3 linked regions of the Drosophila melanogaster genome follow. The gene in region 1 interacts genetically with each later gene. Each region holds a gene or a part of one and is shown in the gene's direction. Other genes may lie near its edges.

Region 1 (7,859 bases):
ATATATGCTTGCATAGGTAATGGCCAACATGGATACATACATATGTATGCATATGTATTAATGTATAAATATACATACAAAGTAATTTAATCACAATTATATGCGATGGCCGGGTTTTAGTGGCAACTGCCTGGTATTACTATTCATAAATGAAAATGACTTAAATACTCCCAATGGAGCGGTGCATTTTTCAGCTGCTTTTTTGTGGCGAAAAAAAAAAACAATGCAGCCATTCATGCGCTCAGTGCATTCGGTAAATTTAACTCAATTGATTGAATTACAATCAAATTGTCATTTTCATTATATGCAAAAATGGTATACATTTTGGTTCATGTTAAAAATGCTATTTAGTAACTGCCGTCATGTAATTTTGTAGTTTTTATTTATTGGTTTTATAATTTCTACAAATGCCTAATATTAAACCAATAGAAAATTATTGAAAACATTAAAATATTTACTTCTGTGTAATGAGGCAAACGCCCAATCAATTTTATAACCATTTTTTTCTCATTAAAAATGTGTCTGCTGTATTTATTTTGCATGCTGATTATTTCCATGCAATCGGTTTTTAGTTTACATATGAATTTTAAGGTGATATTCGTTTAGATATTTGTTTTGATGGTGAATCCTATATCAGGGGCACAAAATAAGAGGCACACAGTGTCCTCGTTCGTTACGGGCATATCCTCTCGCACAATGGCATCCCGATGGGTTTTTCCAGCACCGCTGACTGAACTCCTGGCAGAAGGACTCGCATCGGCAGATCGGGTTGCTCAGACGGCACTCGTAGGGCCCACAACTTCCGGATCCGCCCAGGTCGGCCCGTATGGCTGCCACCATTAGAAGAAGAAGAAATCGAACTGCCATCCAACGAATTTGCATTATGACCGCATTCTGATTAAGCCAGCTGGCTCTTTATATACATACCTTATACACAACAACAGTTGTCAGGTGTTGCAATAAAAACACAATATACAATAAAAAACTTTAAGTGAAATCGAATAAGGCGCCCATTGCCAGTGCAACTCTGTATCAACCGATACAGTATCGATAAGGTATCGATATGGCATCGATACATCGATGTTACAACAGAGTGGCAATTTACCATTGAATTTGATTAACGGTACTTGTGAAACAATGAAAATTGGGACAGTAAAGTTTAAAATAATTTTATTCAAATATATTTTTAGCTCGTGCGAAGTTTTAGCAATTTTATATTGTTCGCCACTTTAAAGATTAAACTCTAACCGCAAACAACCGGAGGTTGCAGTTAAAAACATGAGAAAACGTTTGAGTATAATATCTTGACAGTCGAATAAAAGATCTCAATAATAGATCAAGACGCCTAGTTATCCTGATCAAGAATATGTGTACTTTATGAAGTCGGAAGCGCTTTTCAACGAATCTAGTATACCCTTTAATTCCAAGAATAATTAATAATGTTTAAATAACAATATTTATTTCAAACAGGTTTATGTCTCGGATTGGAATTTGACACTGTGGTTCGTGCCTTTGAATGGATCCCTTCAAGTCTTGTTCTGTAAAGGGATTTTCTCAAAAACTGTTTCTGTAAATTAAGCGCATGTCTCATTTTTAAGATAATCTCTTTTGATGAATACACTGAGAATCAAGAAAACGTTCATTGGAAGCTCACTTGTTTTTGAATCTACTGTTTCCCAGCCGTCGATAAGTCACTATTGCTTTTTTGGCACCCATCGATAAGCAGATGTTGTTAAACATACGATTTAACGGAACGGTATGAAACAGGCGGCAATCGGAACGAAAGTAAATGGGAAAAAAGCGCAAACATGCGCACACACTTTCACGCACACTTGACTCCACTGTGCGAGCGCGTGTGTGTGTGTGTTATTTTTTGAGAAAAGCAAAGAGAGCAAGTGAGAACCAACACCGATGCAAATCATTTTGTTGGCTTTACGGTTAGTTTTTCGTGAAAATTCCATTTAATTTGTGCATTGCAACCGAACTTCGCGACGAAGGCGAGCACGATTAGTGCAATAAGCTAGTGTTTTTTCTTTGGAAAAGTGCATAGAAAAACAACAAAAAGTCATAAGCTTTTCGACTGTGCCTTTGTGTACGTGTGTGTGGCAATACACACGTAATGTGCGCATGTGTGTGCGCAGTGTGCTGGTGTGTGCCATTACCTTGAAAACAAAATAATCTGCCCTAAAGAAAAATGCATTTGTGTACATAATTTCGTTGTTTTTTTTTGTTTGTCCCATCGACGTTCGGTCGATTTTACATGATTTTACACACACATGCACACATTTAACATAGTGTTGTTCGCTGTTAAATCAGCAGTTCGGCCCTGTTAAGCGCACGGGCCAGTGTGACCGTTCTTCTTAAAAATACCGAACCAGTATGACTGCGCTGCGACCGTGCAGGGTCTCGTATTGTCATTAGAAAATCTCACATATTCATTTTTCATTTACAAATAAAAATAGCCAGCACGCAGCCTACAAATTAGCAGCGCACAAAATAAGTTAGTGTGAAAAAGGGAATAGAAGCTGTGCACCAAGTGCAGCGACCAAACACAACTGGCCACGCCACTGCGAGGGCAGCAATAATAACAACTGGCGAAAAGGGCTGCGCAAAAACGTAAACAAAAGCAAGTGGAAAACGAGGCAAAGGAAAACGAAAAGACAGAAACAAACGCAAATGCAAATGCAAAAGTAAAATACTGGAAGTAAACGCTGGAAAACAAAGCCTCGAAAGCTGAAAACAAAGAGGAACGGAAGTGGTGCGGGAGGCGCAAGAGGAACAGGAAGAGGAAGAGAGCAGAAGGAGCACCAGCAGCTGAAGCAGAAGCAGTAACGCAAAACAGAAACCGAAAAATGGACTCGGACAATGACAATGATTTCTGCGATAATGTCGATTCGGGCAACGTCTCCTCGGGCGACGACGGCGATGATGACTTTGGCATGGAGGTGGACCTGCCAAGCTCCGCGGACCGCCAGATGGACCAAGATGACTACCAGTACAAGGTGCTCACCACCGATGAGATTGTGCAACACCAGCGCGAGATCATCGACGAAGCCAATCTGCTGCTGAAGGTATGGCCAAGCGCAAGTACAGTGAACACCCGCTAGTATAACTATCCATCCGCAACTTAACTATCAGTCCTAGGGCAGCCATAGAGGTACATTCTTCACCCAGTCCAGACAACAAAGATAGGCAAGCAGTCACCTTTGATTGCTCTACAGTCAGGCCTTCCTAGCAGGAACATGTTTGTTTCGACTTTCGTTAGCGCTGCGATTTGCAGTGAAAGCCAAATGGCTTGACATAGTTTAGTGGCGTATAGCTGCCAAGAATATCTGATCTGTTCGCCGCTCGGAGGCATCACTGTGTGCAGCACAGTGCATTTGGGCATGTGTATCCGTGAATCGCTTTCCCCACCCCTCGCTCTTGCCGCCCACCGCCCTGCCTGGGATCTGGGATAAGCTGAAGGTCGTCCGCTGATGACTGCCAGTGCCAGTGAAATCGGAACACAAGCACCCAGGCGCACCCAAGGTCGCCAGATCCGCATCCCATATCCGCATCAGCAGCTGACTTGCCCGAAGTTCACTAGCACAGTTTTCACTTTCCCAGATTTCGGGGGATTCCCTTAAAATGGTATTATAGATTCCATTTCAAATGAATACATTAGGATCAATGTAGAATCCATGTAATACTTTTTTGTTTCATTGACATTTAAACATCAGAAAATCTTTCATTGCAATAATAAGCGAAATTCACTTAGCTTGAGTGTTAACTTTCAGTATTGATACAGATCATGTATGTAGCTATCTAATTGTTAGTTAAACAAAGCACCTTTGAGTAACTCTTCCCTCTAAAATTGAATTGTACATACATACGTACTTTTTCTCGATTTCCAAACAAATCGATTAGTTATTAGGAATGCCAAGAAATGTTATATATCCTAAAAATTATACTGTTTAGATAGACCAATTGCCAGTGGTAGTTATAGTGGTTCCACATCACAACCCCATCCACGATTATACATAGGTACTGCTGATCATACTGCTGCTGATCGCAAATGATTTGGCATTGATTTCGATGCCAACTGGGATGCAGCCCCCGCTCTTTTACCCCATATATGTACATATGTGCCATCATCCACTGACATTCGATTTGTTTTGTTGTCTATGGCCACAGCTACCCACACCCACCACACGGATACTGCTAAATCACTTCAAGTGGGACAAGGAGAAGCTATTGGAGAAGTACTTCGACGACAACACTGATGAGTTCTTCAAATGCGCACATGTCATAAATCCTTTCAACGCCACCGAAGCGATCAAACAAAAGGTGAGCCCAGTGCTAAGGCTCCATTTGATGTCTCATCTAATGCGTTTCCCTTCATTTTCAGACCTCACGCAGTCAGTGCGAAGAGTGCGAAATATGCTTTTCACAGCTCCCGCCAGATGTAAGTTGTCATGGAGAAGGGATGAGTAACTCCGTGACCTAATTGCGGTGTAGAATATATTTTCCCGCTGATTAACCACGAATATTTTGGGGGGAAACATGATTTTTTAACTGGTCAATGGTGCCTTATCTGATGACCTGATAATAATGTTAGGGCGTTGCTTTGCTATACAAATCTAAAATATTCTAAAAAGACTTGATTTGTATTTTATCAATTATTTTTATTGGCTTACGTTATCACTAATTTACTTGCTTGATTTACAATTGTTGATTGTTAGCCTGAATTTGGTTATGTAAGCAGTTCAGCAGTAATTCGCTGGAATCCAACTGTCTTGTGGAATCAAACATTTAATAATGTAGTTTAAAAAGTAAAATTTAGTATCACGTTTTAAAAGAGTAGATTGCAATGGGCAACTTTGGGTTATAACAGCAAAGTAAACTTAAATATATTATAGACAAGCTAACTAACAAATACTCAGAGCGTAAAACACCTATGAAAAGTTTAAAATTACCATACGCTATGTAGGTGGTTTTAATTTGCTGTATGCTTCATCATTAAGCTCTCATAGTTCGCGTGATCTTTAAGTATATATTATAGAATACGATTATAATATATTTATAATATTGTATACTCTTTTGCTCCACAAGCAACAACTTCAAGAATATCTACAATGTATACTAATAGCTACTTTCTCTTCGTTCCATTTAGTCCATGGCCGGGCTGGAATGCGGACACCGATTCTGCATGCCCTGTTGGCACGAGTATCTGTCAACGAAGATCGTGGCGGAGGGTCTGGGCCAGACCATTTCGTGCGCGGCGCACGGCTGTGATATCCTGGTGGACGACGTGACCGTCGCCAACCTAGTGACGGACGCACGGGTGCGGGTCAAGTACCAGCAGCTGATCACCAATAGCTTTGTGGAGTGCAACCAGCTGCTGCGCTGGTGTCCGTCCGTCGACTGCACCTATGCGGTGAAGGTGCCGTACGCGGAGCCACGTCGCGTCCATTGCAAATGCGGCCATGTCTTCTGCTTTGCCTGCGGCGAGAACTGGCACGATCCGGTCAAGTGCCGTTGGCTAAAGAAGTGGATCAAGAAGTGTGACGACGACTCGGAGACGTCCAACTGGATCGCGGCCAATACCAAAGAGTGTCCCAGGTGCAGCGTGACCATCGAGAAGGACGGCGGCTGCAACCACATGGTGTGCAAGAACCAGAACTGCAAAAACGAGTTCTGCTGGGTGTGCCTCGGTTCTTGGGAGCCGCACGGCTCCTCCTGGTACAACTGCAATCGCTATGACGAGGACGAGGCCAAGACGGCCCGCGATGCTCAGGAGAAGCTGCGCTCCTCGCTGGCCAGGTGGGTCATTCGACTGTGAACGATGTCACAGGATAGGAACCCCTTTTGTTTTTTTTTTTTTTTAAGTGATACTTGTTGTGTATTATTTTCGCAGTTCGCTGATAATGACGGTTAGCGGTTTATTTTATCTGCTAATTTCTTTTAAGAAAAGATAACGATTGAAAGCCGTAGAAAGGAATGAATCAGCTATAATTCGTAATTAAATTTTATCGCTGATTAAACCTGTAGAATTAGAAATGCTAAAACTAATCAAGGAAACACGAAAGTATCTAGGCAGAAATGTGAAAGTCATTATGGAATAAAACTCAACTGATATATTATCTTCTGCCAAATCTACAGATATCTCCACTACTACAATCGCTACATGAACCACATGCAGTCGATGAAGTTTGAGAACAAATTGTATGCATCTGTGAAGCAAAAGATGGAGGAGATGCAACAGCACAACATGTCATGGATTGAGGTAAGTGGTGAAAACTCGTGACCATAACAATGCGAATTCAGCACACTCATTGCAATTGCAGGTGCAGTTTCTGAAAAAGGCTGTCGACATACTTTGCCAGTGCCGTCAGACTCTCATGTACACGTACGTGTTTGCATATTACTTGAAAAAGAACAATCAATCCATGATATTCGAGGATAATCAAAAGGACTTGGAGTCGGCAACCGAGATGTTGTCGGAGTATTTGGAACGTGATATTACATCCGAGAATTTGGCTGATATTAAGCAGAAAGTGCAAGATAAATACAGGTGAGCGAGCGAGCCATGTCCGTGTCCCCAACATACAAACGACTCATTATCCAAACATTGATTGGTCTCTCCATTCGATTAGGTATTGTGAAAAGCGGTGCTCTGTTCTGCTGAAGCACGTGCACGAGGGGTACGACAAGGAGTGGTGGGAGTACACAGAATGACGCGAGTCATGGCTGGATAACTAAGCTAAGCCGAGCGGCAGGCAATCGGAATGTAGTGCCCGCTAAGCGCCACCCCATCCAGCATCCGAAATGCAGCAAACACTGTCCCCATCCACATACCGACCAACATCCGCCAAGCCACGCAACACACACACACACACACACACACACACTCACGCACGCACGCACTCACGCAGAAATCGAAGCCGAAGGAGTTGAACAGAAGTTAAGGATAATGCAGAAGCTACACAGAAACGCAAGAGAAAGGAGACTCGAAATTCCCAGAAACGCAGGATAAATCCCCATACAAGAGTTGCAAAGCAAAATTGAAGCCATTTCAGAACACAGAAGCCAGAAGGAAATCACCATAAAATCGTAATATATATAAATATATATATTGAATTATATATATTTTTCTTCGTACTAAGCAAGAGCAGCAGCAGGACACGAAGAAGGACAGGATCAAATAGACACTACCAAACACATACTCACACACTCCCACACACACACACACACACACACAGAACCAGTCACAAGGCTCAGAAGCAGAATAGATATATAGTAAATAATCAACAGTTAAAAACTTATTTGATGTTAACCGATTGCAAAGAAATCTTCATGTTATAAAAACCTAATGAAAAACGAAACAAAATGCAAAAATTAGTGAATTCAAAGCTACACGCATGATGAGAAGCCAACAATAGAACCTAAACTTATGTGAAATAAACAAACTACACATGTAAGCAGAAACACTCGCCCAGCTTCCTTTCCACCTGCCCAACTTCCTTCGACCAAAGACAATAGAATAACAAGATGCGTAACGCAACGCGATTTTTTAGCACACATTTTTTTGGCAATGGATCTAGAAGGTGGCTCCAGGCTCTCTCGAATTTTTGAGAGAGAGCGAGAGAGTGGAGAGCGCTACAGCAAATAGCTCTTTTCTACGTATACAGTGATAGCAGACAATTGTATGTGTGCACACGTATGCTTATGCATTGTAAATTTGACCCCCTTCTTAGACTTTAAATCTTTATTATTTTTGATCAATTGGCACCATGCTAAAAATTCTTGTTTTGCATTGCCTTAACGTTATTATTATTTGAAAATAGATTAGAAATAGCCAAATCTATGTACATATTATC
Region 2 (4,857 bases), on another chromosome or scaffold:
TCAGCGGATTGTGGATGCCGTCCTTGCCGTAGCGATCGTTGTAGCGCTCGTAGTGCACTGTGTCCAGCACGAGGCCCAGTCCAGGGGCCATCGGCAGGTCCAGACGCTCCTCCGTCAGTGCCCGCTCTAAAGTGGCCGCCGTCGTGTTCCCCCTTACAATGGCAATGGCTAGACCCACCATCTTGCGAATCTGGTGCAGCATAAAGCTCTGACCCTTAACCTTAAGTGTGACAAATTCGATGTCCTGGGGACTCCGGAATGGCTCGCTGCTCGTAAAGGACATGATGAAGCGCTTGGACGAAGGATCCAGAAAGCTTCTACAAGGGTAGTAAACAAAATATTAGTTGGAGCAGAAATGAAGTATAAACCTGGCTTATTTACTTCTTGCTGGTGAAGTTGTGGAAGTTCTTCGTGCCCTCGTAGAGCTTCAGGGTTTCTTTAACCTTCTGCAGCAGCTCTGGTGAAATCCGGAAGGTGTCGTGCACGTCGTCGACCTTTTCCTCAAACGGAGCAAAGGCCACGGTGGGCAGTGTGTAGGTGTAGGTCCGAGCATTGCATTGATCCTTGGCATTGAAGCCCTTAGTCACGCGTTCTACGCCAAACAGACGGATCTGTTGCGGCAGATCGGCATTGAAGGCCTCCAGGTCCAGCTCCTCAGCTGCAGGAAGGAATAGGTTTAGTATTGTCTTGTAAAATAGAATAAGTAAACTAACGCAGCTTGACGGAGCACACCTGGCGGGCGGCGGAGACGCCCTTGTCGGTCCTGGCCGCTCTTTGGAAACAGGAAATCTGAATCTGCTCAAAGCTGTCCTCTGTAATCCACTTGTGCTTTAGCATGGCTTTGAAGAGCTCCTCCTCGATGGTCTGCATGCCGGGATTGCGCTGCATACCATAGTAGTTCGCACCGCAGTAGCTAAGCAGGATGGCGCTCTTCTTGCGCTTGATCCGGTCGGCGGGATCGAACGGCGCTCGCTTCACGCCGTTGGCGGCATCCTTCTCGTCCTGCTCCTTCCAATCGACCCATTTCTTGCGTTTAAGTGTTCTCTTGATGCGGTTGGCGTCCTTCACGGCTTCGCCCTCCAGTTCTTTGGCCTCTTTCCTGGCTTCCTTCTCCACCTCCAGTTTATCTAGAGCCTCTGACATCGCTGCGGCGAAGGATTTGTGGCGATTCCAGGGATTGCAAAGGGTTTTCAGGCGAACTATTGTAAGAAAATTAATTATTATAAATTCTCGAATTGGAGGTGTGATCACTAATAATTAACCTGCCTTGGTGTAGTCGTTTAAAAGTCGTCTTAAAAACATTAAGTAAACAATTCTGGATTTAAAGTGGAGGAATTCACACACGTGTGGTTGTGCTTCTTCTTCTTGCTCTGTTACGGATCAGCTGTTTTATTTAACAGCTCTGTTTGGCTAATACAAATATGTTTTTTTCGAAAATCGCGTTCTTTGAATTAGCTCAATAATTAAGTTGAGTTTCCGAAATGCTACTTTTGATTTACTTAAGTTTTAAATTAGCTGTGTGGAGAAAAATGTTCAAAGCTTTACGTAACGTTATGACTTAACAGAACGAAGACGTTACAAGTTTATTTTAAAAATTATGTTATATTTTACTATAACCTTTTAATACCAGGCTAAGTTATTAGTTTTAAATTGTAAATAAATGGCATCTTGACCATGTATTACAACATTAATATGATTTTTTACGAAATGAACGGCGAATTCAATTGTGGTATTGCCAGATCGCGTGTTTAGTGTGACCTCAGCTGCTTACGTTTCCACGGCCGTGCGTAACAGCCCTCGAAATGCCGTCGTACTGGCAACGCCGACATGAATTAATTGAATCCAAAATGGCTGAACATTTTTTGTACAGAAGAAGCGTCCAACGAGAGCAAACGCCGTGAGACCGTGTGTTTTCGCAGCGAATTACGCCAATAAAACCGCACTAAGAGCGCGCTCGCAGCGCGAATAAAGAATAGCAGCCGCGTATGGACGAAATGCGGCACGAATCGCTGGAAAAATCGACGGCCAGACCGAAAAATAGCAGCGAAATTCGAGCGAACGTCGTGTATAAGTAAAACGAAAGTTGTGTCGCTCTGTGCGAAAGAGAGAGGGAGAACCCAATATTTTTGCAAGCCAGAAGTCGAAGGTGAAATTAAAATGCATTAGCCACCCAATTGAAGAGGAGTCAACTACGAACAAAACTTTAAGAATCAGCGAAAAATCGTTTGTGAACATCCATACAAGCACAAATCGTTGTTTTTGCCTGCTCTCGTGTAGTTCCTGTGTATTGGTGCGCGCGCCCTGTGTGTGTTTGTGCGTGTGCGTGCGTGTAAGCATTGGAATGGATTAACTACCCAACTAATTCCAAAACAATAATACCGCAACATAATCGCAATAGTCATGCCGTTTCAAGGCGACAGCCTTTAGGGAAACATTCGGTCGGTCGGTCAGTCAACCAAAAATCAGTTGCTATAATTAGCACGCCCACGTTTTAATTTCAACGATCGCCAGCAACCGCCTACGCGGTTAAATCGCAGGACTTCGCCAACATGGATATGGATTTGGAGCAGCTAAAGAACGACTTCCTGCCGCTTATCGCCGGGATCAAGCAGGAGCAGCTGGATGCCGTGCCCACGGATGCCCTGCCCCAGATGAGCACACCAAACACGGCCAGCGGTGCGCCCACAACCTCGTCATTGAGCTCCTCTTCGCTGAGTCTGAGCAACCCCTGCGACAGTGCCGAGAAAAGGGTATGTTGCTAGTCCGTATCACGCGTTCGTTACCTATAAGCTAACGCCAAGTTGAGGTTAGCTAAAGCCGCCTAATCACACGTGCTCTTGCGGCTGATAACAAACAGCCGGCTCAATACACATATTCCCCTGCTCTGCGCAGTCTGCTCAGTGTAAACTTTTGTTTTGGTTGGATTTTGATGCGCTCGTGCTGCGTCCTCCTTATCAAGCGTTTCGAATCGAGTCTCGTGCAAAAAGCGTTTGTTATCTTTTTCCCAGGCCAAGGCAAACAAAGCAGCGTATTCACACAACCAAACAAACAGCGCGCAATGGCAAGTGTTGTTGTGTTTCACTTTCACGGCCCAGTCCGAGATCTTACAGTGAGAAAAACGGCGTGCACTTTGCTCTATTTTACAGTATATGTGTATATATAGTTTTCTATTATTTTAAAATTAATATGACTATGCAGTTTTAATCTTGGATATACCAGTTAAGATGTAAGAAATGTGATGTTATCGAACGTTGAATCAACTTTAAAATTAGTTCTAATATACAAATTTTTAAGTTGTTATATGAAAAAATGAAAAATAATATACCAACTTAATGCAAGAATTTAATTAAATTAAAAAAGGTACAAATTAAACATTAATTATTAGCTTACTGATTGAGAATTTTTTTTTTTACTGTGTAGTGAGTTAGGGTCTCGTGCCGATGGTTCTCGATTCCCCTATGAGTGCGAGCAAAACAAGCTGTTTCTAGACAGTCGCTACCTCGCTTTCACTTACGTGGAAGGGCTAAGTCAAGATGGTCTCCCTCTCTTGCAATTGCAGATCAGCTGCAACATGCAGCTGCCACTCTCCAGATGAGCGGCAATAGAGTGTGTGTGGTTGTGTGTGTGCTCTCTACTGTGTTTTGTTTGCTCTCCGTCGTGCTTGAGCTGCTCTTTAAGCTACAGTGGAACCCAAGTAGATCATCCTAGTGGAAAGCTTGAACATAATTGTCCTGAAAAATAAAAAAATACTATAATATTTTAACTACTTCAATCTAAAGAATTATTGAATTGCTTTTACACCTTTTTGTTTATTTTCATTGTATTAGTTACTTACTGTACAGCCAGATAACTTGCCTTAACTGAACTTCCAATATAATTTTGGGACATACAGAATATAACTACCTTATTTTCAACGTAAATTGGGCAATTTGAAAGTTTCATTTAACACTAACATTATGAATTAAAATCAACGGCTTGTGATTACAATAAAACAAAATTAATGTTTTTCACAAATGATAACCGCTTTAGATGACACTAATTGGTCACGATATTTTATTATGTGTGCTAAATAAAACAAACACGTTTTCATGTATGTAATTAAAAATTCGAGCTCTAACTTTCTATGCGGCATGTGATACTTCTAGTTACGGAAGCCTGACTGTATGAAAGACTCAAACTTCTCCTGCAACCGTGCAAATAAATGTTCGCCTAGAGTGGGCCTTTTGGAGTGGCCACTCTCTCTTGAACCCCAACCAGGGATTGGGAATGACATGCACTCATTCAATCCGTCCCTCAATCATGCAAACGGTTGTGTTTGCTGTGGTCGTTGGGGGCACTTAAGACCCCCAGACTCCATGCCCAGTCCCCCCCCCCCCCCCGCCTGAATCCCCTCCAGATCACTTAATGCCCATTTCTGATGCGGGCAAACTATCAAGTGGAAAGTACTTCGCCGAGGCAAGGTGTGGAGTTCAGAATGGATGATGATGGGGATTTCAAAGGAATAGCTTTTAGATTATTAATCCTGTTAAAGATTTTCATACATGCATGTACATAACTACAAAACAATCTGACTTAAGAAACTGCCAAGCACGGAATAGTTAAATAATTAATATGAAAAGAATTATCAAAGAATTATTTATGATCCAGTAAGAATTATGCGATCCTTTAGATTTCCTTTAGATTTGAATGCTAATTCTTCTCTTGACGGCATTTTTTTCCTTTTCATCGAGTAAATTATTCTAATTTATGCATGACTTCACAAAACTAACTGTACCTACTCATGAATACATGGAATACATGATGTCGTTAAGTAACTTTTATGGGCGAAAAACATAATAAGAATTTCTCAATAAAGAG
Region 3 (4,817 bases), on another chromosome or scaffold:
CGGTTATTGTTGCTTGTTATTAAAATGCATATGTGGCATTATAAATTGGTATTTTTTTTGTTTAGAATGCCAGCGATGTGGACGACGTTCAGGATGGCCTCGACGATCAGTTTAGGATGCACGATCACTGGTCGGACGACGAAAGCGGCAGTGACATCTATACAGATGAGGAGTACACAAACGACGATGGCAACAGCGAAGCGTCCCACTACAGCGTGGACATCTACGATCCCTGGGGGTCAGAAGACGAGGTAGACGCGAGCTATTCGCGAAGGATGCGGTTCTAAGACACAATATAAATTCTACATAGGTGTAAGCGAGAGTAACTAGCTTTATAGCTTATGTACATTCAGTAATGTCGAGCCCCTATTTATTCATCTCAAACAGTCATATTAAACAAAGGTATTTAAGTGCAATATCTTTATTCGCCCTTACATGTAGAGTTTGATCAACTCGTCGCTTACGGCCGAGGGTGTTAGTCTTCCGAGGTCGGTGAAGAGCAGGGTGATGTAGACGGGTGGCGTATAGTCGACCAGCGGGTGCACTTTGCTTACATCGTTTAGGTGTTTGCGGGAGTACTATAAATAAACCCACTCTTAATCGCCGTTCCTGCTTTAATGACGCAGTAAGAACCTACCTTGTACTCGTTTGGCAGATCGCGCTGATTGAGTGGATACAGACGGCTGAACTTGAAGCTTTCGGCCAGAACGTAGAAAGGTTTCTTCATCTCACGGGCGCACAGACCCATGGTGTAGGTGCCAATGCGGTTGATAATGCCACCACTCTCCACCACGGCTTCAGCCCCCACAAGCACAAAGTCCACCGATTCCATAACATAGCCGGTGGCTGAGTCCAGAATGAGCGTGCAATCGATGCCGGCCGCATGCAGATCCTTAACCATCTCTTCGCTAAGAACGGACAATGCTTACACCTGAATTCTATCGGAAACACACCCTAGCTTACCCAGAGTTTCCCGTGCCGCCCTGCGTCACATAAACGTGGAAGGACTTTTTGTTCTGCGAGGCTGTAATCAGCGCCTTGAGGACCACCCGGGATCGGGAGTGCGTCAATATACGGCAGCCATCGGTAATGAACCTTTGGGCCTGCTGGGCAATCACCTGGATTGGGTGGTACAATGAGGGGTTAGTTCATGCGCTAGCACTAGCTTTTCGTATGAGAGCCAACCTGCCGGGAATTGAGCAACTTGGTGAGGAAGATTTTTCCGCGATTCAACATAATCTGCCGGCACTCCTCCATGTGCTTGTCGTCCAGACTGAGGGTGATGAACCTGCAAAAGAGCTCTCCGGCAGAAACAATGGCTGCTATAGACAAATCCGTATTCCGCATGGCAGCCACCGCTTCCCTCATGGTTGTGTGTAGAATATGAATGGTTCCAACTGAGGAATATGTTGTAGATGATTTAAAATGGTTCAGTAAAGAGGTTTATTAGCCCACTAACATTGTTTCTTTTCCAGGATCATTAGCAGAGTCCTGATAGCCGCAATGCCGGAGGACAGATCCTTGTCCTCGTCCAGGAGCTGCAGGAAGTATTTGACCACATCTAAGGGTGAAAGCTTGTATTATCACTTCTGCGTAACTTTAGACCCATTCTTAGCTCACCAAAATCCTGGCCATTTTCCGTAATTTGCGGCATTTTTATGAAATTGTGAAAGCCTACCGCTGCACGTTAAACGTCAACAAAATAATCAGCTGTTCGAAGGCTTATTTACACTTCGCAATTCACAGGTTAATTTATCGATTGCCAATTCGCACCTTCCGATAACGATAACGATTGGCAGATTGCCGGGGCTGAAACGTAAACAATCCAAAATTCTATGGCTATGTTTGTTTTGTTAAACATATTCGGCCCAGAATTGTAGCAAAATTCACAGCATGTAAATTCAAGTTAACCGCCGGCAACGCATTAAATGAAGAGTGTCATATAAGTGAGCAGTCAACAGCGCTGGGATCGAGGCCTGAGCCTCCGGCGTCGCCACACCATGTTCAAACTGGAGTCCTACATCACTCCGATTCTGCTGAGCTACGTGGCCAAGTACGTGAAGAACTTCCGCGACGAGGATGCCCAAGTGTCGCTGTGGGAAGGCGAGGTCACCTTCCAGAATCTGGACCTGCGCCTGGAGGTGCTCGAGGAAGAGCTGAACCTCCCAGTAGAACTAGTTTCCGGCCACATTCATGAACTCAGCATCCTGGTGCCGTGGACCAAGCTTATGTCCGAGCCCGTGAAGATCGTCATCAATACCATAGAATTCGTGGCCAAGTTGCCGGATAGTGAGAGCAAGCAGCGCAGGGCCTCCTTCCAGCGGGAGCAGCGAAGGAAATCGAAGCGGGAGTCCGTGGAGCAGCCGGATCAGACGAAGAGTCCTGGACCGGCAAGCTCTTCCAGCGTGGTCAACAAAATCATCAACAACATCAACCTGCAGTGCCACAACATCATCCTGAAGTATGTGGAGGACGACATCGTGGTCTCTATGAATGTGCAGACCCTTAACTTTAGCTCCGCCGGCGAGGACTGGAAGCCCACTATGGTGGACATACACCCGGTGTCCGTCGTCATGCGCAAGTTGCTCCAGGTCTCAGATTTGACCATCTGCTTGGACAAGCGCAACACAGCTGGTAGGATAGAGGTGTGCCAGGAGCCGGTTCTCTACCGATGTACTCTGGAGTGCCGGGTTCTCCGCAAGTACAACGCCAACACGGTGTCCACAACAAGCACAACACGCATTGGAGTTTTCACGAAGTCGCTGGATATCAACGTGTCATCTCTGCAGTTCCCCATGGTGATGAGGCTGGTCAAAATGCTGCTCGAGCTTAAGCCAGCCGAGTTTGAGGATGACCCCCAGAATCCAGAAGATCAGGAGGCGGTAGCTGAGGGCAGCGAGTCGCAACAGGGGACCGAATCCGCAGGACGAAGCGTCTTTTGGTGGGCCTGGAGCCTACTGCCCAGTTTCGATACTGAGGCGCCTTCCTCGTCCTGCGACACTCCCACTGGTCACGCCTTCGATCTGGGAGTCTACGCCGAGGAGCTGAACTTCCAGCTTAAAAACTCGGAGTACTTTACCGACCAGAGCATGGGTGGCATCAAGCGAATACGATACACCCCAATATTGCGAATTAGTTTGGGCGGACTTTATTACGAGCGGACAATTCTAAAGGAGTGCGACTGGGCCAACGTCAAGGCGGGCCTTTCTAGCATGTGCATGGAGCCATTAGGTGCTTACCGTAGCGACGATCTCGTGGATCGCAACTTGGTCAATACCCAGGAAGTGAGTTGATCCTAAGACTGTTTATTGCCTTCACTCTTTACTATTTTTTATATAAAGTTTCAGCAAGAGCGATCCTTTATTGACAAGAGTCTGTTTGACGAGAACTACATGTTCGCCGAACGGTCCTGGTGCAGCTACAACTACGCGGATTACGTGGCCAGGAACACGGATGAATACATGCTGTTTCGCAGTCCTGTTTTGGCCTTCGACGTCATCGAGCACCGGGTGCCTAAGCCCAGCAGCCATCCCGTGGCGGAGAGCCAGCTCAGAGATCTGGGAGTTCGCATCCAGTATCGTCTATTGTCCGCCGGAATCACGTTCCACTTTTCGCAGTCGTTCGTCCAGGTTAAAAAGGTAATTAGTGATTTAATTCGTCCTTACGATTACCCGGGATATCGTTCAGAATCGATGAAGGATGAGGATCGCGGTGTCCCCGAGCCGGAAAACAAGAACTCTGAAATGACTATACCTGATCTGGAGTATCTGATGGGATTGGTGCCCACTTGTAACTACAAAATTGAGTTGCGTAACATTGTGGTTCAGTTGTATCCCCGCCAGCAGCAAGATGAGTCATCCGCGATCAATCAACACCAACTGACGACCACAGTCAGACAATCTTTGCTACCATATTTGCAGCTTAAGATCTCCCTAGTCGAGGGCACAATGTGTGGACCAGTGAATCCTGTTCGCCTGGTCCAACTGATTACTCATCTAGAAGAGAAGCCTCGGGACGTGGTTAATGCCTGCTACAACTGTTTTCACTTCAATGTGAAAAACTTGGCGCTTATGATTATGAATACAACTCCGGATAATGGACGTGCCAAGCTTTTGAATATTCCACGCGTTCAAGTGAACTGGAACCGCCTTTTGGCGCCTCATCTTTGGCGTCAAAACGAGGCGCCTTTAGAGACTTCGGAAATAAAATCAGAGATCATAACTTTAGAGTTCTCAAAGCGCGAGCTAATCATCGCAAAGCGCTTGGTGCCGTTAATTTCGAGTTTCAGTGGCCAAGATCTTTGTGATCTGGCCCACATTGTAGCCAATGTCAACGTCAATTCTGATGTGATCAAGCTGCAGAGTGTGGGCACCAAACTAAACCTGGTCTATCACAAGTACCATACACATTTGGCTGCAGTGGGGTCACTTCAAGGTGTCCACACTGATGCCGTCCATACCAAAATGAATATACGCAATGTGGTGTTGTCCACTTCAAAGAATGCAGACAATAAGTGGCTTGAGATGCAGTGTCAGTTTCCCCTGGAGGAGGTCCATTCGGAGCAGGAAAAAATTCCCGGCACAGTGGTGTGCCTTTGGTTGGAACCATTTCGCATCACTACGGACATATATTTGCTGCAGTTCCTAAATTTTTCGGACAACAGTGGAAGGCAAATTACAAAAGACAAGGGTACGTGATTCTATATAAATCACTAATATTTATAAAAGTAATTAATTCTGGTTTCAGAAGTAGAAACTGATTTGGAGTCTGTGAACCAGTCGGAGCCACCAATTACACAATCGGTTTCGAATTATTCC

What was found. Genes that interact genetically often act in the same process or in processes that back each other up.
Region 2: of ari-1 (region 1) and bon, changing one suppresses a phenotype caused by changing the other (phenotypic suppression), as found in Drosophila melanogaster (one study listed by BioGRID).
Region 3: of ari-1 (region 1) and Vps13B, changing one suppresses a phenotype caused by changing the other (phenotypic suppression), as found in Drosophila melanogaster (one study listed by BioGRID).

Annotation. Positions count from the first base shown.
Region 1 is NC_004354.4:18,131,654-18,139,512, reverse strand, and holds the start of ari-1 (ariadne 1), read left to right. Parts: upstream 1-1,827; 5' UTR 1,828-1,937; exon of another isoform or gene 1,938-2,148; intron 2,149-2,373; exon of another isoform or gene 2,374-2,462; 5' UTR 2,463-2,852; coding exon 2,853-3,071; intron 3,072-4,173; coding exon 4,174-4,326; intron 4,327-4,387; coding exon 4,388-4,444; intron 4,445-5,152; coding exon 5,153-5,802; intron 5,803-6,141; coding exon 6,142-6,265; intron 6,266-6,326; coding exon 6,327-6,553; intron 6,554-6,635; coding exon 6,636-6,717; 3' UTR 6,718-7,859. Other genes in the region: CG43229 (uncharacterized protein), read right to left, coding at 634-882. UniProt on the Drosophila melanogaster protein: Atypical E3 ubiquitin-protein ligase, which catalyzes ubiquitination of target proteins together with ubiquitin-conjugating enzyme E2 Ubc10.
Region 2 is NT_033777.3:20,591,295-20,596,151, forward strand, and holds the start of bon (bonus), read left to right. Parts: upstream 1-1,844; 5' UTR 1,845-2,549; coding exon 2,550-2,750; intron 2,751-4,857. Other genes in the region: Pus1 (pseudouridine synthase 1), read right to left, coding at 1-317, 382-658, 714-1,199, 1,263-1,302.
Region 3 is NT_033777.3:29,934,174-29,938,990, forward strand, and holds the start of Vps13B (vacuolar protein sorting 13B), read left to right. Parts: upstream 1-1,804; 5' UTR 1,805-2,000; coding exon 2,001-3,284; intron 3,285-3,341; coding exon 3,342-4,689; intron 4,690-4,746; coding exon 4,747-4,817. Other genes in the region: CG42558 (uncharacterized protein), read left to right, coding at 66-287; eIF2Balpha (eukaryotic translation initiation factor 2B subunit alpha), read right to left, coding at 432-578, 638-908, 964-1,118, 1,186-1,397, 1,460-1,561, 1,621-1,654.